Regions from separate parts of the Mus musculus genome. Here all the other regions are reported to be linked to region 1. Evidence: microRNA targets listed by miRTarBase, many of them from high-throughput screens and not tested one by one. Region 1 holds a microRNA gene; each other region holds the end of a gene's coding sequence. Distances are from middle to middle.
Evidence for each region. The annotated mature microRNA mmu-miR-466e-3p reads UAUACAUACACGCACACAUAAGA and lies in region 1 at 1,004-1,026, shown strand. An mRNA with a match to its seed (bases 2 to 7 or 8) in the 3' UTR can be bound and repressed. Matches are read on the target gene's strand: a 7mer-m8 pairs with bases 2 to 8, a 7mer-A1 pairs with bases 2 to 7 and ends in A, and an 8mer does both.

Region 2: the mRNA of Txlnb is a reported target of mmu-miR-466e-3p. Seed matches in the 3' UTR shown: 8mer at 947-954.
Region 3: miRTarBase lists Wfdc12 as a target of mmu-miR-466e-3p. Seed matches in the 3' UTR shown: 8mer at 680-687 and 7mer-m8 at 686-692.
Region 4: miRTarBase lists Slc22a15 as a target of mmu-miR-466e-3p. Seed matches in the 3' UTR shown: 8mer at 2,021-2,028.
Region 5: the mRNA of Tdrd1 is a reported target of mmu-miR-466e-3p. Seed matches in the 3' UTR shown: 7mer-m8 at 1-7.
Region 6: the mRNA of Casp8 is a reported target of mmu-miR-466e-3p. Seed matches in the 3' UTR shown: 7mer-m8 at 2,408-2,414.
Region 7: miRTarBase lists Lrrc71 as a target of mmu-miR-466e-3p. Seed matches in the 3' UTR shown: 8mer at 1,341-1,348.

Annotation. Positions count from the first base shown.
Region 1 is chr2:10,490,386-10,493,469 of GRCm38, forward strand. It overlaps Gm25285 (predicted gene, 25285), which reads left to right and starts at 951; the gene lies at 951-1,040. The region is part of intron 10 of Sfmbt2 (Scm-like with four mbt domains 2); the gene reads left to right. It overlaps Mir467a-6 (microRNA 467a-6), which reads left to right and starts at 663; the gene lies at 663-745. Mir669a-8 (microRNA 669a-8) reads left to right here and starts at 1,181; the gene lies at 1,181-1,267.
Region 2 is chr10:17,842,956-17,846,039 of GRCm38, forward strand. Txlnb (taxilin beta) reads left to right here. Exons shown (of 10, transcript NM_138628.3): 10 at 1-2,708. The coding sequence ends at 525. Among named protein-coding and RNA genes, the nearest start is that of Gm20655, 8.9 kb to the left of the region's middle.
Region 3 is chr2:164,186,949-164,190,032 of GRCm38, reverse strand. It overlaps Wfdc12 (WAP four-disulfide core domain 12), which reads left to right. Exons shown (of 3, transcript NM_138684.2): 3 at 350-802. The coding sequence ends at 374. All of the region lies in intron 2 of A730032A03Rik (a long non-coding RNA gene), which reads right to left. Among named protein-coding and RNA genes, the nearest start is that of Wfdc12, 2.1 kb to the left of the region's middle.
Region 4 is chr3:101,857,860-101,860,943 of GRCm38, reverse strand. Slc22a15 (solute carrier family 22 (organic anion/cation transporter), member 15) reads left to right here. Exons shown (of 12, transcript NM_001039371.2): 11 at 1-143; 12 at 425-3,084. The coding sequence ends at 505. Among named protein-coding and RNA genes, the nearest start is that of Mab21l3, 23 kb to the right of the region's middle.
Region 5 is chr19:56,866,084-56,869,167 of GRCm38, reverse strand. It overlaps Tdrd1 (tudor domain containing 1), which reads right to left. Exons shown (of 26, transcript NM_001002238.2): 24 at 2,697-2,743; 25 at 2,526-2,618; 26 at 1-465. The coding sequence ends at 2,526. Among named protein-coding and RNA genes, the nearest start is that of Vwa2, 6.8 kb to the left of the region's middle.
Region 6 is chr1:58,846,343-58,849,426 of GRCm38, reverse strand. It overlaps Casp8 (caspase 8), which reads right to left. Exons shown (of 9, transcript NM_009812.2): 9 at 1,924-2,805. The coding sequence ends at 2,673. Among named protein-coding and RNA genes, the nearest start is that of Gm28802, 49 kb to the left of the region's middle.
Region 7 is chr3:87,736,563-87,739,646 of GRCm38, forward strand. Lrrc71 (leucine rich repeat containing 71) reads right to left here. Exons shown (of 15, transcript NM_028971.1): 14 at 2,787-2,908; 15 at 361-2,623. The coding sequence ends at 2,513. It overlaps Arhgef11 (Rho guanine nucleotide exchange factor (GEF) 11), which reads left to right. Exons shown (of 40, transcript NM_001003912.2): 40 at 482-1,477. The coding sequence ends at 540. Among named protein-coding and RNA genes, the nearest start is that of Lrrc71, 11 kb to the right of the region's middle.

The DNA of each region.
Region 1 (3,084 bases):
GAATTCATGTGATTTTCCCTGTGTTTGTGTTTATGTGTATAGGGAAGTATGCCTGTACATGCGCGTATATGAACATGCATATATATATATATATATATATATATATATATATATATATATACACACCCACACAACTAGGGACACATACATGTGCACACATACACACATGGCAGTCATCCATTTGATTTATACGTGCTTATAATTTCATTGAGTGTATATTCATGGTATAGGGAATAATCTCACTTATCAGATGAAAACCACTTGCCAGAGTTAGGAGTCTCAGGAGTTCAAATTCATGCTTAACTTCATAATGAGTTAGAGATCACCCTGTATTTGTGTGATGGATCCTAGGTATGCACAAGTGCATATAATTGTGTGTGCACGTACATGTGTGTATATGATCATACATATAAATACACACACATACAAATGTATTCACACACACAGGCGTGCACACTCACACACATAAGAATGACACTCATTGATCCATTTGAATGATATATGTCTTAGAATTTTGCTGATTATAAAGTAGAGGGACAGTGAAGGTCTCACTCACCAGGTGTAAATAATTGGCAGTGTCAGGAGGATCAGGAGTTCAATTTCATGCTTAACTTCATGAGCAGTTAGAGATCATCCTGGAATAATGTGATGGCCCCTATGTATGTGCCCGTGTGCGTAAGTGCCTGCATGTATATGCGTGTATATTTTATGCATATACATACACACACCTACACACACATGCACACAGACATGCGGAAATGGCCTTCACGGATCCATTTGAATGATATGTGACCTACTGCTTTGGAGGTTATGTATGACTGGGCCAGGGTGAGGTCTCACAAACCACGGGAAAACCCTTGGTAGAGTCGGGAAGATCAGGAGTGCAAGTTCATAGTAAAGGCATGATGAGTTAGAGGTCATCCTGGCATTCATGTGATTGCCCCTACGTATGTGTATATGTGTTGATGTGTGTGTGCATGTACATATGTGAATATGATATACATATACATACACGCACACATAAGACACATATGAGCACACAGACACAGGGGAATGGCACTCGTCAATCCATTTGAATGATAAGTGACTTAGAGTGAAAATGCTTGCTAGAGTTAAGAGTATCAGGAGTTCAAATTTACACTTATCCTCATGAGAGATCAGCCTGTGATTCCTCCATGTATGTGCATGTGTGTATAGTTGTGTGTGCATGTTCATGTCTATATTTGAATATACATAACATACACACACACGTATAAACGCAAGCACACATACACAGACACAGGAATGGCATTCGCCAATCCCTTTGAATGATAAGTGATGTAGAGTTTTAGAGATTATGCAATAGGGGACATTGAATGGACTCACTCACCAGGTGTAAAAGATTGACAAAGTCAGGAGGATAAGGATTGCAAATTCATGCTTAACTTCATTTGGAGATCATCTTGGTATTAATGTCATGCAACCCATGTATGTGCATGTGTGCTTACTTGTATGTGCATTGTATGTGTTGACATGATATACATAACATAAACACACGTGTTTATGCAAGCACACACACACAGGAAAAAATTGCATTCATTTATACGTTTGAATGACATGTGACTCAAAGTTTTCAAGATTATGAAGTAGTGGGACAGTGAATGGTTTTACTCATCAGGTGTGAAAGATTGTGGATCAGGAGTTCTAATTCATGCTTTACTTCATGATGACTTAGAGATATGCCTGGGATTCATGTGATGTCCCCTATGTATCCCTATCTGTATCTGTTTCTATTGTGTGTGGATTTGAGTATATGGATGTACCTATCTACACAAATATGTACATGTACACAGACACAAACAGAAACACACACAAAAACATCAGTGCAACTCATCGATCCATTTGAATGACATGTGACTTAGAGTTTTAAGATTTTTCAGTACTGAATGGGGAGAGGTCTCACTCAGTAGGTGAAATCCCTTGACAGAGTCAGGTGGATCAGGAGTTCAAGTTCGTGCTGAATTTCATGATGAGTTCATGATCAGCATGGGATTCATATTATGCCCACCAAAATGTACATGTGTGTATAGTTGTGTGCATATTCACTTCTCTATATGAATATGCATATACACACATGCACACACATTCATAGGAATGGCCAGAGCTATGTCTCAGTTAGGAGGTGAGCACTCTTGCCAGTGTCAGGAGGATGAGGAGTTCAAATTCATGTTTAACTTCATGATGAGTTAGAGTTCAGCATGCGATTCATGTGATGCCCACCAAGAATGTGCAGGTGTGTATAGTTGTGTACATATTCACTTCTGTATATGAATATGCATATACTCACATGCAAACATACTCCCACGAATGGCCCGTGCTATGACTCAGTTAGGAGGTGAATACTCTTGCCAGCATCATGAGGATGAGCAGTTCAAATTCATGTTTAACTTTATGATGAGTTAGAGATCAGCCCGGAATTCATGTGATTTTCCCTGTGTTTGTGTTTATGTGTATAGGGAAGTATGCCTGTACATGCGCGTATATGAACATGCATATATATATATATATATATATATATATATATATATATATATATATATATATACACCCACACAACTAGGGACACATTCATGTGCACACAAACACACATGGCAGTCATCCATTTGATTTATACGTGCTTAGAGTTTCATTGAGTGTATATTCATGGTATAGGGAATAATGTCACTTATCAGATGAAAACCACTTGCCAGAGTTAAAAGTCTCAGGAGTTCAAATTCATGCTTAACTTCATAATGAGTTAGAGATCACCCTGTATTTGTGTGATGGATCCTAGGTATGCACAAGTGCATATAATTGTGTGTGCACGTACATGTGTGTATATGATCATACATATAAATACACACACATACAAATGTATTCACACACACAGGCATGCACACTCACACACATAAGAATGACACTCATTGATCCATTTGAATGATTTATGTCTTAGAATTTTGCTGATTATAAAGTAGAGGGACAGTGAATATTCTCACTCACCAGGTGTAAACAATTGTCAGTGTCAGGAGGATCAGGAGTTCAATTTCATGCTTAACTTCATGAGCA
Region 2 (3,084 bases), not on the chromosome of region 1:
ATCCTTCATCATCCAGAGTTCACCCCAGACCAACCAACGGAAAGACAGCTGGCAGTGAATGGTCCTCAAAGTGGAAGTGATGTCACCCACCAGCACCCCGAAACAGCCCGTTTAAACCATCCCAGCCTTCCCGCTGATTCAGGGAGTCCTCGGCCCCCTGTAGGTGCTCAGGCTGTGGCGGAGGGCGTCTGTGAGGCCACACCTGCCCCTACAGCCTCCTGTACCCCTGCAGAGGCAGAGCTACAAAGTCAGGGTCTCCCTGCAGAAAATACCCCGGGTCCGAAGCCCCATAAACCAGAGGCAAACACTTCTGGTCAGGCCCCACTGTCCCCAGCCCAGGGCTCCCTATCTGTAGTAGAGGCAAAATATGATATTTCACCATCTCCAGAGAGTGAGGGAGATTCTGCTGTGGTGCCCGGCTGTGAGTCTAGGGAGCAGCCCCCACCAGAAGTCACAGACATCCCCGTAGGCCCTTCCACTGGACTCCCCAGAGAGCCCGATGCTTGTCTGAATGGAGTAGACTAAGCCTTGTTGATTCTTCTGGCTGCTCACCTGACTGCATCTTCCTCACAGAAGAAAGTCTGTGAAAGAAACTTCTAGGACTAGGAAGAGTTAGAGTCAAGACATTTTTAAAGTTGTACAGAACACTTCCAGTCTTTGCTGCTGTTTGCAATTTATAACTAATATGGAAATTCTCTGTGATTTGGCAGCCAAACACATCAATAGCAAATATACATTACTTTCCCATTACATTGGTGCCTTAATCCAGTTTGTTAGCAGTAAGATTTTGTATTTAAGGACTCCCACTATAACAAATAAATACACTGAAATATTACATTTATTTCCACAAATAACCCAATAAGATCTATAATGGATATCCAGGTTCCATTTAAATAGCATAATATACAGTGTACTTATGTGTATACACAATACACATAAATACATTTATGTATACACATACACATGTATTTTCATACGTGCATATAAAGTCATCACACAAGTATATTTTGCTCCTAACAGATTTTTCTCTATTGCAAGATATGCTTGTAAAAATTTTTCTATCTTACTTACACTCTGGACTACAGTAGATTAAAGCTCTATGGATCAGAAATAGCACATGTGCTACAATGCCTGGACACAAAGAGGACCACAAGAGGCTTTTAACAGAAAGGGGAAAAAACACAAACAGGTGCTTCTGATCTTCTCAGCCAACTTCCTCCCAACTTCCCAGCATCACCTCCTGGGTTGAGGCAGCCGCCTCCTGGCTACCTGTGAGAAGGTGGTTGGAAATAGAGAAAGCACCTAAGTAAGATTTGAGAGGTTGAGTATCCTCAGCTTAGAGGTCTCAGCCTCTTTGACTACTGATATCTCAAGAAAACACTTTTTGTTGTCTCTGACATTGTCTTTATCTCAAAGCATCTATTCCTTCCAAATTTCCTCCTTTGCGTCAATGTGTGTGCCTGGCCCACATCTCAATTAATGTTAAGTAAAATGTATTTTTCCAAAACGGAAATACATACGAGCTCTCAATAGGAGTAACAAGGCTTACAAAGCTAACACATTTTCTGCTCTAAGAATTTTTGAACAGGCAGAAGTACAAAATTTTTAAAAGGGGGGGGGGGCCTCCTACTCATAATTCAAAAATAACAGGCAAGGACTCCATAGATGTCAAAAGCAAGAAGCACTTGGGATTACCCAAACAAGTTTTATACTCTCATTGTTCGCAAAAACCTCTAATAACACTGGCAGCATAAAATGCTCTGCCTAGGCTCAAAGAAAACTGTACTAACAGAACAGGGAGAGGTGGGAAGGAGGGAGACAGAAGGTGCATAAAGAGAGGACGGTCTAATCTAACTCTATGTTAAGAAGTTGAACACAGGTAGAAATGTGGATAAAGGAGGATTCTTGAAAACTCATCCAGGAAATCACTCTTCAGTGGTGCACGTGGCTGCTTGCCAATGCACACGAGGAGCTGGGAGGCAGTAGCCATATGTTGAAGGAATTATAAAACTGTATAAAATTTATTTGAAGTAGACAGTAAGGGAAAGAACAAAAATACCATTTGGGGAAAAAATCAGGGGAAAAAGCATGCCATTATTTGAGAACCCATGTGTTTTCAGAGGCTTTGCATATTATAACCACACGGGTATCCAGCCAAGTTCAACACCACTGGAAATTAGACATTCAATTAACTCAAAGCCAAATATTCACTACACTAATCCCTTCTCTCTGTTTACAGGAGCTGAGCTTCAAAGAACAGAGTAGGATCATCACAGTTAGGTCTCAATCCAAGAGCTTAGGAAGACAAACAGGCAGGAGGCACTGACATCCAATAAATTAAGTGTTCTCATATCCAAAGTTTATTATTTTCATCCAAGAGGGTTTCACAGCAACATATCACTCACAACTGTGTGTACCTTTGGCACAGTTTCACAGACTACACCTTCCCTGAAATCTGTAAAGCTTTAATATAGACTTTGGGAGAATTATTTTAATAGTAAAAGAATGTTTTATTATAGTTCCTTGTGTTCAAACTTGGCTGTACTAATCATAACAACTCATAAGATCTGAAAGCAGAAAATATATCTCTTTTTATGAAGTTCATATAACTATTTTTAGAGATGCCAAGTCTTTCTAGAAACACTGGAATTATTGCTTTCTAAATGTAATAACATAATGTTTATACCAATTAAAAAGGCATTTCTTCCAAGTTTTCTAGTAGGTTTTTTAAATTATTTTTTATTGGATATTTTCTTTATTTACATTTCAAATGTTATCCCCTTTCCTGGTTTCCCTCTCTCCCAGAAACAATCTATCACATCCTCTCTCCCACTGCTTCTATGAGGGTGTTCCTCCATCCACCCACCCACTCCACCTCCCTGCTCTCATTTCCCCTATACTGGGGCATCTATTGAGCCTTCATAAGACCAAGGACCTCTCCTCCCATTGATTCATGACAAGGCCAACCTCTGCTACATATGCAGCTGGAACCATGTGGACTCCTTTGTTGATGGCTTAGTCCCTGGGAGATCTGGGGGGGGGGGGTCTGGTTGGTTGATATTGTTGTTCTTCCTATAGGGTTGC
Region 3 (3,084 bases), 150 Mb from region 1:
CTGGGGTGAGCTTATGGGATCTCAGAGACCAGAGGCCTTGACCGTCTCCTTTGTACAAAGGGGAAGGCGTGACAGGGATGTCAACCAAGCAGAATCAGGTGAAAGCCCCTGGGCTTTCCCTCCTCCCAGGACTGCTCACACAAGTCCCACTCTGTCCTTTCCTCCTCTAAACTTGCTGTCACCTAGCACCTGCCCCGGGGGTCCACAGGCTTAAAGTATGGGAGAAACGGGCAGCCCGTGGGCAACCTGGTCTCCGAGTCCTTGTGTGCAAAAGAAGGAACAGCCTATCCATCCAGCCTGTCCCCAGTGTGAGCATCCCTCTTCAGCGGGTTCTCCTCCTCTTTTGTAGACAGATCCCTCAGAGTAAGGTGTGATATCTCATAAAAATGGCCTCAGAGGACTGCTTCCACCGTGGAAGGACACAGCAAGAAGATACAAAGACCAGAAACCAGGCCTTTCCAGATACTGGATCTCTGGGCACCTTGATCTTGGACTCCCCAACCTCCAGAACTCTGAGAAATAAATGTTGTTTATAGGCCATTCAGTCTATGGTAATTTGTTACAGTGGTCCAAATAGACTAATACAACTTAATAGTTTAAAAAAAAATCCTTGTTCAATATTATGTGTGTGTGTATGTGTGTGTGTGTGTGTGTATGTTTGTTTGTGTGTTTGTGTGTGTATGTATATGTATGTACATATACATGCATGAATAATTCTGGAAATATACATTTTTTTGGAAAAACTATTAAACTTTATTATATGACATTTTTTACAAATCTGAATAAATAGGATAAAATTGTCCATAATACGATTTTTTTAAAAAAAGATATGCCTTTACAGCTGGCCAAAGGTAAAACAAAGTGACTCTGGAGTTGTGAATTATTTATCCCTAAGTGAGACACCTGTATCACACAGCAACCACCACCACCACCAAGCTCAGAGAACATCTAGGAAAAGCCTGGAAGATTGGCACAGATAATGTCTTCTGTGCATGACAGGGCCGCTGTACTCATAAATTCACAGCAACTGTTGTAGCCAGCACAAGACCTGCACAGATCAGTCTAGTCACCCTTAGTAGAGGAGCCATGTCTGTTGACGGCCACTAGAGGGGGCAGAGTCATCGTTCCTCAGTGGTGTGGCCCGTGGTGGGGTGCCAGTGCCCCAGTGGATGGTACTGCACACCCACGGGTGTATGGGCACACTAATTAGATTCAGTGGGTTATTTTTAAGAGAGAGAGGAATTGGGATTGAGAGGGAAGTGTGGAGAGGAATCAGGGGGACTTGGAGGGAGAAATGAGAGAGATGATCTAAATACATTTTGTTTGTGTATTAAAGTACTAGAGAATATATAAAATATGTGCGTGTGTGTGCACGCATGTGTGTGTGTGTGTGTAATTTCTTACATATTGCATATAGAATACAATGCATATATATGCCTGCTTTTCTGCAAACACCAAGTGTTCACAAGGCAAGGATGTCCATCCTGATCAACATCGTTCATATATAACTACAATCTAAACCCTCTAGAATTTGCAATCTCAATTAAGCTGTCGCCACAGGCACCGGCCATCCACAGCTTCCTGCTGTTTACAGGGTGTCATTTCATCATCCCATGCTATACAACGTGTCCTTGTGTGGAGAAACATGGCTTTACGATGAGAGGATTGAGGTGTTCTGGCTGAAATACTGCAGTTTGTCTGAACAACATTAAAAATGGGTAAACTGGGAGGGAGGCAGAGGCAGGTGGATTTCTGAGTTTGATGCCAGCCTGGTCTACAGAGTGAATTCCAGGATAGCCAGAGCTATACAGAGAAACCCTGTCTCAAAAAAATAAAAAAAAATAAAAATAAAAAAAAAATGGGTAAGCCAGGTATAGACTCCTCCTCAAGTGATGCAGGAAGCTGAAAGATACCACAAGGAAGGGCTTCTAGCCACACTAAGTAGACATTCATCTGTTTGCTCAAGCAGAAATTACAGAAGGGGAGAATGGGAGGCAGGCAGAAATGAGCTAAAATGTTTATTCTGGAATAAAGGAATCTAAGGATGTTGCAACCATGCAGGGAGTGTCAGTGTATGGACTTGGTTCTGAAAACTGCTTGAACTCATTTAAAAAATGTATCTTTAATCATGTGCATGTCTATGTGTCTGTGTAGAGGTGTGTGCCTGTAAGTGCAGATACCCAGAAAGGATAGAAGAGGGTATCAGATCTTCTTGGTCTGGAGTTAAAGAGGTTATAAACCACCCAGCATGGAGGATGGCAAACTAGAGTCCTCTGCAAGGGCAGTATGAGCTCTTAACTGCTGAACCATCACTCCAGCCCCACAAAGTCATTTTTAGAACAATAAGGAAAATAGAAAGCAAACACAGCCGGGCATGGTGGTGCACACCTTTAACCCCAGCACTCAGGAGGCAGAGACAGGCGGATTTCTGAGTTCGAGGCCAGCCTGGTCTACAGAGTGAGTTCCAGGACAGCCGGGGCAACACAGAGAAACCCTGTCTCAAAAACAACAACAACAACAAAAAGCAAACACAGAGGCAGATGATTAGGTGTGACAATGACAAATTCAGTTCTCCCCTTTCTTTCAGAGTTGATAGAGGGTTTTGCGATGTAGTCCAGGCTAACCTGGAACTTGGATCCTGCTAGCTGCACACCCTGGGTGCTGGGAATGTAGGAGTGCATCACCACACTCAACCTAAATGATCATATCTTAGAGACCCATACTGAAATATCTATGATGTGTTGGGTTGACTTGAAATTTTAAATTTCAAAAAAATAATAGTTTGGATGTACACAAGAAGAAATGTAAGATGTTCCTGTTGAGTTTGGAATGCACAGAGTTTCATAAAAAGGGTTACTGTTCTCCTGTATGTTTTTGGAATGGTGATAAAAAATGTTATAGCAAACAATGAGTTGGGTTTTTTTCCCAACTTAACAAAATAATCGAGTTCATATGGGGCAGTGAAAGACTGTGATGTAAGAGGTAACAATGTAAATTAGTAAAATTCATGGATACCAGAAGTCGCTTAAACATAATGTAGCTGTAACTCTTACAACAGAAGCACTGGATCACAAATAAGGAGGA
Region 4 (3,084 bases), not on the chromosome of region 1:
GCCTGACCTCAGGCCTCCTGAGCCTGCTATTGCCAGAGACTCTGAACAGCCCTTTGCTGGAGACATTTTCTGATCTTCAAATGTACTCATATAGGAGGTTAGGAGAGGAAGCGCTATCTCTACAGACCTTGGATCCTCCACAGGTATAGAGACACATGCTGTAACCATCTAGGTGCCCTTGGGTTTGATCCCCAGAACCATCTAAACCTGAGTGTGGTGGTACACCCCTGTAAACCTAGCACTAGAGAGGTAGAGACAGGAAGATCAGAAGGTGATCTCAGCTACTTAGAAAATTGGAAGCTAACTTGGTCTGCATGGGTCCCTGTCTCAAAACAACAGCAAAATTGCACTGTGAGTGCCTGGGTGGTAATTCTCATTAAGGCCTGTCATGATCACTTCTACAAGATCTCCTTTGCCATTGCAGCCCCTGGACAAGGTCAGCAGTGAGAGTGAGGAGGAGGAAGAGTTCTATGATGCAGATGAGGAGACCCAGATGATCAAGTGAAGAGCCCGCATTCCTGCCCAGAAGCAGAGCCCCATCATCCTTAGTGCCTCAGCTTCAGCACCAGAGATGTATTCAGCCCACACTGACGCTTTCCAGATGGGAGAGGCGGTGGAGGAGAGATTCCAAAAGGGAGAACTTGCTGCGTTGAGGGAGTCATTGCTGACTTGTTCGGGACTGGGGCTGAGCTCAGCACCACGCCTCTGGCTGCACAGCTCAGATCCACCTTGTAGGACTGGTGCCTCATGCTGCTACCCTTCCTCGGGACCTAAGAGCAGGTGTGTGAAACTGCTCGCACTTTAACTAGGGTTAGCCAGACCTTCCCCGAGATGTCATCTTCCTAGCAAGCATCCCTGTCACTTGCTTCTCCCCCACCAGGAATCTTCTGGTGCAGGTTGATGTGTACAGAGCTCCCAGCTTCCCATCAGCTCATTGGCTGGTTCCCAGCTCATTGGTTGCTGGTGCAGCTTGTGCCTTTAGTCTGTGCTCATTCACTAATAAAGGGCAGAATTAGCGGAGCATTTCTCATCAGAGGGCTGGCTGTGGCAGGGAAGCTCCCTTTGACGCTTGCGTCATGCGATTTTTTTCCCCCACTTGGATGCATTTGGGGACTGTTTTTCTTTGTGAGATTCTAGCATCAGCAATAACTTCAAAATCATGCCCAGCCAACGAGGAAACTTTACAGACTGAGGGTGGCGAGCAAGTGACACGCTAAGCACTTTGTAAATGACTTAAGAGGGGAGAGTCTCTCACAGTGTCGTCAGTGTGCAACAAGGGACATGCACAGCACACCAGGGCTGGACTCTGCCCTGCATCAGCCTCTACTGGTTATTTAAAAGGCAGGGTGGAGGGTTTTTTGTTTTTTAAGAAAATGGTGGGTTTTCATTGAGTGCTTCCGTGGATTTCCAAATGAATCATAACCTGTCTCTCACAAAACTTGAACACTCTCAAATGGCATATAAGCCAGGAGTCCACATGTGGGCAATCGATCAATCGATCACGCCCCGACCAGGGAAACGGCTGTGTGTTTAGGATTTCTGTGTCTGCTAATCTCTTGGGAGTAGAAAGCACACAGAGTAGAAAGGTGCTCTGTAGATGCCCCTGGAAACTGTGCAAGCCTGCATTCTTTGCCTCCAGCTATGTTCCTGGACTCCTCTGTGTTGTCTGGGCTTTTACTGTACTGGTCTGTTCCACTGTTAAATAATTTTTCCTTTGTGCCCTTGGGTATGGAGGAGCTGTTTCTACCAGTATGAGGAACATGCCTGGCCGGGATGCTGTGAAGACCCCATAGGTGATCCTGTGTCTAGCTGTCAGAAAGATTATAGAACTCCCTGCGACATCATATCCGCAAATTCCAGTAAAGGGTGTCCCACACTCCAAAGCACGAAGTCCTGCTGCTCTCCTCTCTGGGAAATGGAGGTCAGCTCTCCTTAGGAGAGGAAGAAAAGGACTTCCAGAAACTCTTGATTCTTGTCAAATAAAGTATTTAAAATAAAGCAGTAAATTTATATATATATATATGTATATATATATAAATTTTATATATATATATATATAAATGTTATTGAACTCTTTTTATATAATGTAACCTGTAGGAGTATTATTTTTAATATATCCCTACACAAGGTTGTTTCCCACCTCAATGGTTTTTGTTCCCAAATGAAAGACACACACACAACCTTTATATTTTAATATGCTTTAAGGAGCACAATAGCTGGTCAACTGCCTACCCTCCATGGTGTTAGACTCTACCTCCCACCGATAATTCCAAGTTACTACTTACTAGTTCCTATGTTCCATCTTGGCTGCCCCTGACCTTTACACGGTAGCTCTGCCTCTCTGGCCCTCACTCTCAGGCAGTGCTGCTCTGCTCTTCCTCCTCCTCCAGGTCCCAAGCCCTGGAAACCCCAATCCTCTTTCTTGTCTCCCCAACTATTAGCTGCTGGCATCTTTAATTACCAATCACAGTTAACTGGGGGCAGGTCCCCAGAAGCTACATGCAGACCCTCTTGTGCAAACAGTTTTGAGGGGATACAGTTAATATAGAATACAAAGAGCTACAATAACCCATCAGAGAAAATTTGGTACTAGAAGTTAGAAAGTGCATCCGTCAGTCTAGCTGCAGAAGAAGCAGGGCCATGGCTTTTTATTCATTCCCTGCTGCTGCTGAAGTTCCTGCCGCTTCTGGCTAAGCAAGTGAACTCCAGGTAATTCCCAGCCTAGAGGTAGAAGGACAGACCACAGGGTGAATTACGTGGCAAGTAATAAGGCCCGGTTGGCTGTCAGCTGCTCTTGTTGGATAAATTATTACATTTTTCTTCTCCCTGGGTAGTCCTCTAAGCACAGTTTAATAATTATTTCTCTGCCTTTGTAAAGATGAATTTTATTCCCTATGATGGCTGCTAATGAGTATTGATGGTACAAAGCCACAGAAGTCTTACTTGGTAGGTAGCCTATTTTGCTTGTACAGATAGTCTGTTAAAAGCATCTTTAAAGAAACAGTAAGGATGTCTGAAAAGTCATAAGGTATCATACTACTAACTACCTAAAATACCTAAATACATGGAAATCAATGAATAAAT
Region 5 (3,084 bases), not on the chromosome of region 1:
ATACATACACACACACACACACATACACACACACACACACACACACACACACACACTCTTAGCAGAAGGTACCTCATAGTCTTTCCTAGTCGTCTCATACATTTTGAATCTTGATGTCCTTTTGGTTTTGTTTGTGATGAGAAAGCATCTAACTAGGCCCTTGCTGGCTTTGAGCCTGAGGTCTTGCCTCATGCTGCTCATGGCTGGGATTACAGGTGTGCACCACCGCGCCTAGCTCATACATGAATCTCTTCTGTAAGATTCATGTATTTCGTGGAAAGAATCGGGGAGAGGGCAGCAAACCCGACAGAACAAAGTAAGCAAGCACAGCGGAGAGGCTAAAAGTCACTAAGGAAAGAGGAGGAAGCAGCAATTCTAGTGAACAAAACACACACACAATTCTTTCTCAGGTCTGGCGTTTGCTGTCTCTTTCTTCCCAGTGTTTATTTCCAAGAGATGATGTTTCTGAAAGAGAAAAACCAGCCATCATTATGGTTTACACAGAATCACTATGGCCCTTAACTTCAGTTCTAAGTACAGGCAAGCCAGATAAACTAAATTACACACATTCAGATTATACGTGGCAGAGAAAAATTAAACAGCATCATAACAGTGCTTAATTTTTATCGATACTGGCATTAATCAGAGTGAATTATATTCTCTACAAATATAAAATGCAGCTATTGTAGCTCTTTCCAAATATAAAAACAAGTTTCATTTTAACTTATCTAGTCATCCCTTTAAGAACAATGTTAGCACCTCTATTTACAAAATTTATAATGCAGCAACACCTTTGTTATGTACATATGGTTTTAGACAGGGTCTTATTAGACCAAGCTATCTTAACTCCACATCTCACACGCCTCAAATCCCCAAGACAGCACTGCAGGCTGACTAATACCTGGCTGATAACTACTAACGAAAACCACACAACACAGTAGTTATAAAAGCCTTAACATTTGGAACACATATATCTGGAAGTAGATTAAGTAAGGTGAGAATAAATATCCAGTTTTATTTTCCTCCCAAATGAGAAGAGAATGCCTGAGTACCTATGTTATCTCCTCATTCCATGCCCTGCAGGTCCAGACTAACCGAGAAAGAGGCTGTAGCCCAGGGCATACCCAGAAGCTGGGACAGCTCCTCCCCTGTCAGCTGTAAGCTCCAGCCTGCAAGAGGGGGTGAGGTGTGGGGTGCACACCAAGAGCCTGCATGGACACCGTGAGCCTCTGCTTCCTCATCAGACAATAAGGTCATTCTACTACATGTGGGGGTGGGGGCAGGGAGCTACAAATGTGTGTAGTATATGGATAGGGAGCAAGGTGCACTCAGCTCTGCCCACAGGTGTGTGCCATTCTTCCTCAGATTGTTCCCACCTCCCGTTTTACTATGCAACATGAGTCTCTCAATGGCCTGGAACTGACGAGCAAGTTAGGCCAGCAGTTGCTGAGCCACAGTCTCCACTTCCCAGTGCTGGGATTGTGACAGCACACACCTTGCCCTGCACTTCTGCTTCAAGGATGCTGTGAGGACTGTGCAATGTGAGGCCCAGCCCCGTACACAGTGCTGTGTGGGGGAAACTAGCGTGTGTTATGTTTTAAATTCAAACATTTACCGTTCTAGGCTTTCTAATTTTCTAGAAACAATTGAAAATGGCAGCCTTATCTTAAATTATATGAGCACTCTCAGTATCTCTCTGAGGAGAGTTCACTACACAGATGAATAGACCAAAGTACAAATGATTAATTAGCTGGGCTAATCCCAGAAGCCTGTGTCATTGCAGGCTCTTCAGTCGGTCTAGTTAAAATCTTCATTAAATTCAAGATCTTAAGCTCAAGCACACAAAACAGAAATCAAGTATAGAGATGCTAAGGCACGACAATGGGAAGGAACTGTTGCTCAGGGTGTCAGCTTAGGTGCTAGCTTCCTTAGGGACAAACTCAGCAGAGGTGCGCACTCAGTCAGCACTGCTGTTCCAGAGGAGCGACAGCCCAGGGAATCCCAGGAGCTGCTGCAGGAGCATGGAAGAGCCAGCTCTGGGCTGACACTGCACCAACCCCACCCCTCCAGCACACACACAGGGGTGAATAAGTGGGGTAATCTCATTTTGTCCACAAGTTCCAGTTGGCTGCTGGCCATGACTACTTTCTGATGGCCCCTGTTCTTGCGGGGATCCTGACAGTAAGACACGGTTGGGAACTACTGGGATGGGCCCAGCACACTCTCTCTGAACAGTGGCACAGCACAGCCTGCTCCAGTGTCACAGGTGACAGAGTGCCTACCTTCCTCGATCTTCTATCCTTGCCCAGACTCAGGACTAAAGCTACTGCAGCAGACAGAGTCAGTGAGGCCTGAGAAGACGTCAAGTCTGGACACAGTGTGAGGCTAAGCTTCACCTCATGACCATCTTTACAAGTCTCTTCACATACTGACGATGTGAGCAATTTCAAATCAAACAGTAAGAAACGGCTTCACATAAGCACCTGGAGTCGGGTGCATCACAGAAGGGGAAACGGGAAACTTACTTAGCTTCTCAGCAGCTTTTTCATCTCTGTGAATTTACTTTGGTTGGTTGGATTGTTTAAGAGGAAGAGGAGAATCTGTTCGTGTTTCTCAATCTGTGGATGCAAAGGAGACAGTATGATTTCTCTCTCAATGTGAGGCAGCGTGTGGCTTCATGTAGGAGCTGCACCTACCTGTTTCTGTAACTCTGTGCAACAGCAGTCTCTGCTGTGTGGTATCTCTAGAAGCAAAAACAAACAAAACAGGCCTAGGTCATGGCAGTGAGGGAGCCCGCGTGCACCTGTGTGTCGGGGTCTAAGTGTCAACTCCCCAGGACATCACCCACCCAGTCATGTGCTGTGTGTGTCCTGGACTCTCAGACCAGCACTCCATCTAAAGATTAGGTCTTCTATGATGTCTTAGGTCTTCTAAGACTTCTCCTGTTGCTCAGATCAAAGAGAACCCGAAGAAAGGCACAGGCACAGTTGCAACCATTCCAAAGCTCTCAGTCTCGACTCCCACAGCACCAGTGTCCCTGACCTTGGGTCAGGTCAGGCTGAATTGCCACAGGAGTGCAGAGGA
Region 6 (3,084 bases), not on the chromosome of region 1:
TTTCTGACCATGGCACTTCTTAGACTCATTGGACTGCCTGCCACTTGGGTGCATGGGGTCATTATGATTAAAAAAATTCTGGTTTTTATGTGGAAGTGCTTTTAAGTTTTGGCGAGTAATGTTAAGCAATGTTGTAAGCCAATACTAGACACTGAATGTTCCCCACGTGTGAACATGCCAATTGTAAAACAAACGAACAGAAACAATAAAAAACAAACAAAAGAATCCCTTAGAAACAGTAAGGTAAATCTATTTTTCTTTAAAAAAAAAAACCCAGCTTTTGTCTCACTGACAGTTTACTTAGGAGGGAACAGGGGAATATAAAAGTTTATAGGTACAGATTCAATAAAATATACACTGAAGAGCAGTGCATGAAACAACTCAGTTTCTTTTAAAAAGCTATATGAAAGCATAAAAAACCTATATATTAATATGGAATTTGAAAAACAAACAAAATTCAAGATAGAGATCTTCCTAGATCCTGATTCAAACAGACTGTAAGAATGCAAGAAGATTGGGAGATTTTTGAATACCAACACTGACTGGTATTTAATGTTTAAAAATGCTTTGGCTATCTAAAACGTACCTCATCCTTAGAGACACTTGGGTCTCTAAACTATTCATATGCAAGAATATTCCACCTCAGTGGACCCAAGTCAGTGCCCCCGAGCGAGGTGACAAGGCAGGCAGGTGAGGATACAGTCAGGGAGGACAGAGCACAGCACAGCTGTTGATGTTGGAGGCTGTAAGCACGTGGCTTCACCATGCTGCCATTGCGTTTAGTTTTTGTATATTTATGAAATTTTTCTCAATAAAATACGTTTTTAGAAAATAAGTTTTGTTTTAATGCTATTATCCTACAAAACATAAATAAAACTTTTATAAATACTTCTAGAAAATAAACAAAAACAGAATTTCCTGATGGACCATTAACTATAAGTACATTAAGTAAAAACCTGTAATTTATCTAAAAACTAACAAAAAATAGTTTTTACTCCTTTTTTTAAGGAAAAAAAAAAAAACCATGGTCAAGGCCTCAAACTGGTTATATAGGTGAAGATGACCTTACACTCCAGACCCTCCTGCCTCTACATCCCAAGTGCTCAGTGTGGTCCACCACAACTGGCCTCATTTTCCTTAAATTTATCTACATCTACTTATCCAGTCATGCGTTGCATGTATGGAGAGAGTGTGCTTTGGAGGTCAGAGGAAAACTTATGGGAGCCAATTCTTTCCTTTTCTCATTTTGGTCCCAGGGATCAAACCTTGTTACCAGTCTGTGCAGCAAGCTCCCTTACCCGATGAGCCACCTCACCAGCCCCCCATTCATTGAAGATATAACAGAAATGTTAACATTGGCGAGTTTAACTTTTGCTCATGTTTAGACATGTAAGGAGAGCTGGCATGCATGCTCACACATGCATAAGTACATGTGTGAGCACACACATGCTTTGGCAGGCACATGCATGCAGTCTTCCTCAATCAATCTCCACAATAATCAGGGAGGCAGGGGCTCTCGATTGAACCTATAGCTGTCCTCTGATACCACTGGTCTGGCTACACAGCTTGCACCAGGAATCTTATCCCCACCCTCCCAGTGTAGCAATTATAGGAGGGACAACATGCCCATCGCCCATCGCCATTTACATTGGTTCCTGGGAGCTGAACTCAGGCCCTCGAGTTTGCTTGGCAAGTTCTTTAACCAGTGAGCTATCTCCTCATCCTGGTCAAGGCTAATTCTTAACCGCACTTAGCCACAGAAGTGTTTTTATAGTTAATTCCCACCAACTCTCGCCACAAACAAAGAGACCGTTTTCTTTCCATTATCCCTCATGCTCCCTAATAGCTCTCACTCTGAAGGACTTCCAGTTGATCATGAAAAAACCCAGAGACTAATGAAAAACTAACCTGGAAGAATTATATACTGCACAGAAAAAAGTTTAATATTATTATTACCTCTGAGAATTTCATGCAGAGAATGCTGATGATATTCACCCCATTCTGCTGACTCACCTTCAGCAGTTAACTTGCCCCAGGTCCCTGCTCCCGTCATTCACCCCCTCTGTTAACTTGCCCCAGGTCCCTGCTCCCGTCATTCACCCATTCTGTTAACCAGATTCATGCTCCAGTCTTGCTTTCTTACTCATGCATCTTCAAGTTTTCTTTTTTGTTTTTTTCAAGACAAGCTTTCTCTGTGTAGCCCTGGCTATCTCAGAACTTGCTATGTAGAGCAGGTTGGCTTTGAACTCAGAGATCCTCCTGCCTCTGTCTCCAGAGTGCTGAGATTAAAGGTGAACCCATGGAAGCCAATTTGTATTGCCCAACTATTCTTGGGAGAGGGACCTGCCTTGGAGTGTGATTGGCCTACCAAAGGTCGCTCCATTTTTTAAAAAAAGCAAAACAAAACATACATACAAGTGATAGTATACAGGTTATATTTAGAAATGTGTGTGTGTGTGTGTGTGTGTGTATGTATGTGTGTGTACAACAGTTAATGAGAAAAGAGGCCATGTATTTGAAATTGGAACATAACAAAGAAGGGTTTAAAGGGAAGAAAAGGGAAAATTATGTAAATGTAAATTCAAAAGCAAAAGAAATTCTAAAAAATAAATTAGACTCATCCACACAAAAGTGCACAGATAAGCCATGTGAACTGTGGAGAGCACACATCATTAGGGAGGGAAGAAGAGCTTCTTCCGTAGTGTGAAGGTGGGCTGTGGCATCTGCTTTCCCTTGTTCCTCCTGTCGTCTTTATTGCTCACGTCATAGTTCACGCCAGTCAGGATGCTAAGAATGTCATCTCCTCTGAAAAAGAAAGCAGCGTAAGCATATGGGACAAGGCAGTGTCCACCGTCTCACTGGCTGTGCCCACCGTCTCACTGGCAGTGCCCACCGTATCACTGGCTGTGCTCACTGTCTCACTGGCTATATCCACTGTCTCACTGGTAGTGCCCACTGTCTCACTGGCTGTGTCCACCCTCTCTCTGGCTGTGCTCACTGTCTCACTGGCTGTGCCACCCACGTCTCATTGGCAGTGCCCACTGTCTCACTGGCTGTGCCCACCCTCTCACTGGCTGTGCTCAC
Region 7 (3,084 bases), not on the chromosome of region 1:
CCATGTGGGTGATGGGAATTGAACCTGGGCGCTCTGGGAGAGTAGAAAGTATTCTTAACCACTGAGCCATCTCTCAGCCCCCAGAACCTTCTATTTATGTTGGTTTGAGGAAGTAATGTACCAGGAAAGCCGCCTTACCTCTGCAGCAGGTTCTTAGTGGCTCAGACCTGGGTTATAAGGGCAAGGACCGAATTCAGAAAGCTAAAACGCCTAACCTGTCTTGGTTTTGGCGCCTGGAAAGAAATGCAGTCCCACAGGAAACAAGGCTTGGACTGACAAGATGGCTCACCAAGCCTGACCATCTGAGTTCGAGCCCCAGGATTCACATGGAAGGAGAGAACCGACTCCAACAAGTTGTCTAGCTTCCACACACTCTATTACATATAAGCTTTGTCACAGCTGGCACTCAAGAATCAGCCAGGGACATGAAAGAGAACCTCTCAAATGTAGCCAGCGTCTCACCCTCACCATCTTCCCACAGGCTCCGACACCCCCCTGGAAGACAGTGCCACAGACACAGCTTCGTCACCAGGACCATAGCCATCCAGACAACCAGAGTCTGGCCTGAGCCAGAGCGCCACATTAGGAGATCCGAGCCTCCCCGTGAAAGATACTGTGAGGCCTGGGAATCCCTCATGTTGCCTGGTCTGTTCCCACCAGACAGTCCAGTTTAGTGTCTCTTCCTCCTGTTAGCCCAAGTCTCCGTGGCTTTCGTCTCCTAAGCATGCTGACCACAATAGAAAGGCCTCCACCCCACATAGCCAGTGTGGGGTGTGCTATGTGCACAGTGCCCTTGAGGAGGCTTATGTATAAATGCACTTTCTTCCTCCTCTTCTTCCTAGGCCCCGAGACAGCTAGATGCCTGGCTCTCCTCTTTGCCCTTTAGTTTCCTATAAATATGTCTATTGTATGTGTATCTTTGCCATTGTAAATAACTTAGCCTTTTATTCTGTCCCTGGCATGTTCAACCAGTCACAGAGAGCCAGGCAGCAGCCCCGCACAGGGCCATGATTGTTTATGTCCCACTGGCAGGGAGGTCTCCCAGATTCCAGTGCTGTCAAGCTCCAGGGCCTGCCCACCTCTGAAGCCTAGGCCTTCTCAGTGTCAGGAAATGCTCCTGCAGGGAGTGTCTTACCCAGCCCTTCCCCACTTGCCCCATAGAAACAATACACCAGGTACGGATCTCAACACAGACTCTCAAGAGAGATGTGGAGTGGATTGCTGGAGTCCCTGAGTTAAGTCAGGGCCCTTCCTTCCCCAGGGGCCACAGCACCGTTGGCTCATCACCCTGTCCTCACGCCACTCCCTACAATGAACATACACACTGTGCTAGGTGTATATATACATATATATAAATATATATAATATATAAAATATAGATATGGAAATGACTGTTTTACTGTTAAAATAATGTATACTCTTATTTTCTTCCTTTCATGGTTAAGATTTTTTTAAAGAAAAGTTAAATATTCTTCCATTGTGGTTGTATGATTCTTAGCCTGATAGAGGGTGTGAGGCTGCCGGTGTGACCGGTCAAAAATGGGTAGAGGGAGACAAGAAAGCCCCTGCCACAGCCATCCTGCACCAGGTCTTTCCACCTGTCCCAAAGTGCCGGTGTGTAGACCTTCTCAGCAGAGGTTGGACAACTGGCTCTGGCCCAGAAAAGGACATTGTGGTTACGTCACACGAAGGAACAGGGCTGCTGTGACCTACTCTCAGATGCAAACCATGAAGAGGGTTACCACACTGCCCTCCTTCCCACAGACCAGGAAGAGCCATGGCAGCTGAGCCATGCCTTAGAGGACCTGGGACATAACTGGAAAAGCCATGGTGCACCTTAACACAGTGACTGAGACTCAGAGCAGCCGGAGAGATCCCCAGAGCCACTTGCCAGCCGGGGCTGGAGCTCTGGAAGGTAGAGGAGGGGCTAGAGATGAGGGAGAGTTACCTTGGTTGGAGATTCCCTGGAGGTTGGCATGGGCTCTCCAGAACCCTCAGCAGAGGCAGCCCTGCTCTGGATGTCCATGATTTCTAGTTGCTGACCTGCCTGCCGTGTGTACGTGTGTCTAAGGTTTGGCCTTTGTTATGCAAATTGGATACAGTACCCTCTCCAGAGTGCCCTCATCTTTTAAAGCAGAGCCCTGGCCTCTGGAAAACCAGACAAACACATGGAGATAGCATCAGAGAAGGCTGGGTTCCAAGCCCGCTCCCTCCGTCATTGTGCTAACCAACCCCCATCATCCTAGTGCTGTGCATGCTGACAGAGATGGCCCGGAGGATGCTGCTGGGACTCTCAGAGCAATGGCCCTAGCCAGGAGCTCAGCTCATCCCCCAATGGAACCATGGTGTGATTCAGGCCAACATTCGGCCCTGTCTAGCCAGGGAATATGAACAGACTTAAGAACCTAAACGTTCCAAACAGGTATGGAGTGATTTTCAAGGAACAGCACAGCAAGAGACTATGTTACTGGTCCAAGCTACCTCCCAGGGAGACAGGCTGCCTGTAGGAGACCTAGGTAGCTGCAGCCTCCTCCTCCCTGGCCTTGGCCTTCACAGGGTCCCTTGGCAACATCAGTTCTTGAATCATGACGTGTGTTGGACACTGTGGGTCAAAGCAGTTTTTCTGAAAGAAAAAAAAAAAGTTGCCAGGATAAAGATTTGTCTCCAGGAAAGAACAATGCCCGGGACAGTTTTAGGGCTGTTGAACGGGGGGGGGGGGGGGGGGGGGCAATCCCAGCACTGCTAATTGCAGGAAACAAACAAAGAACTGGGGCAAGGAGACCTACCGCCAAGGACAGCCACAGCAGACCCAGGGGGGCCTTGGGTGAAGTCTTGGGCTTGGAGACCTGAACCTGGTATTGCACAGCAGTGAGGAAGCCTTCCAGCCCCACCTCTGTGATTTGGTTTCCTAAGGGGAAGCACAGACAGTAGCATCTGACATCACTGGCAGCCTGCCTCCCCTCCACTTCCAAATTCAACAGGCAGAGCTGACTTTAACTAGCCCTCTTCTCACTACCCTTCACTTCCCTTTACCCTGCTGATGCCTCTCCCCCACCTAGCTATCTTATCCATGTCACTACTGCC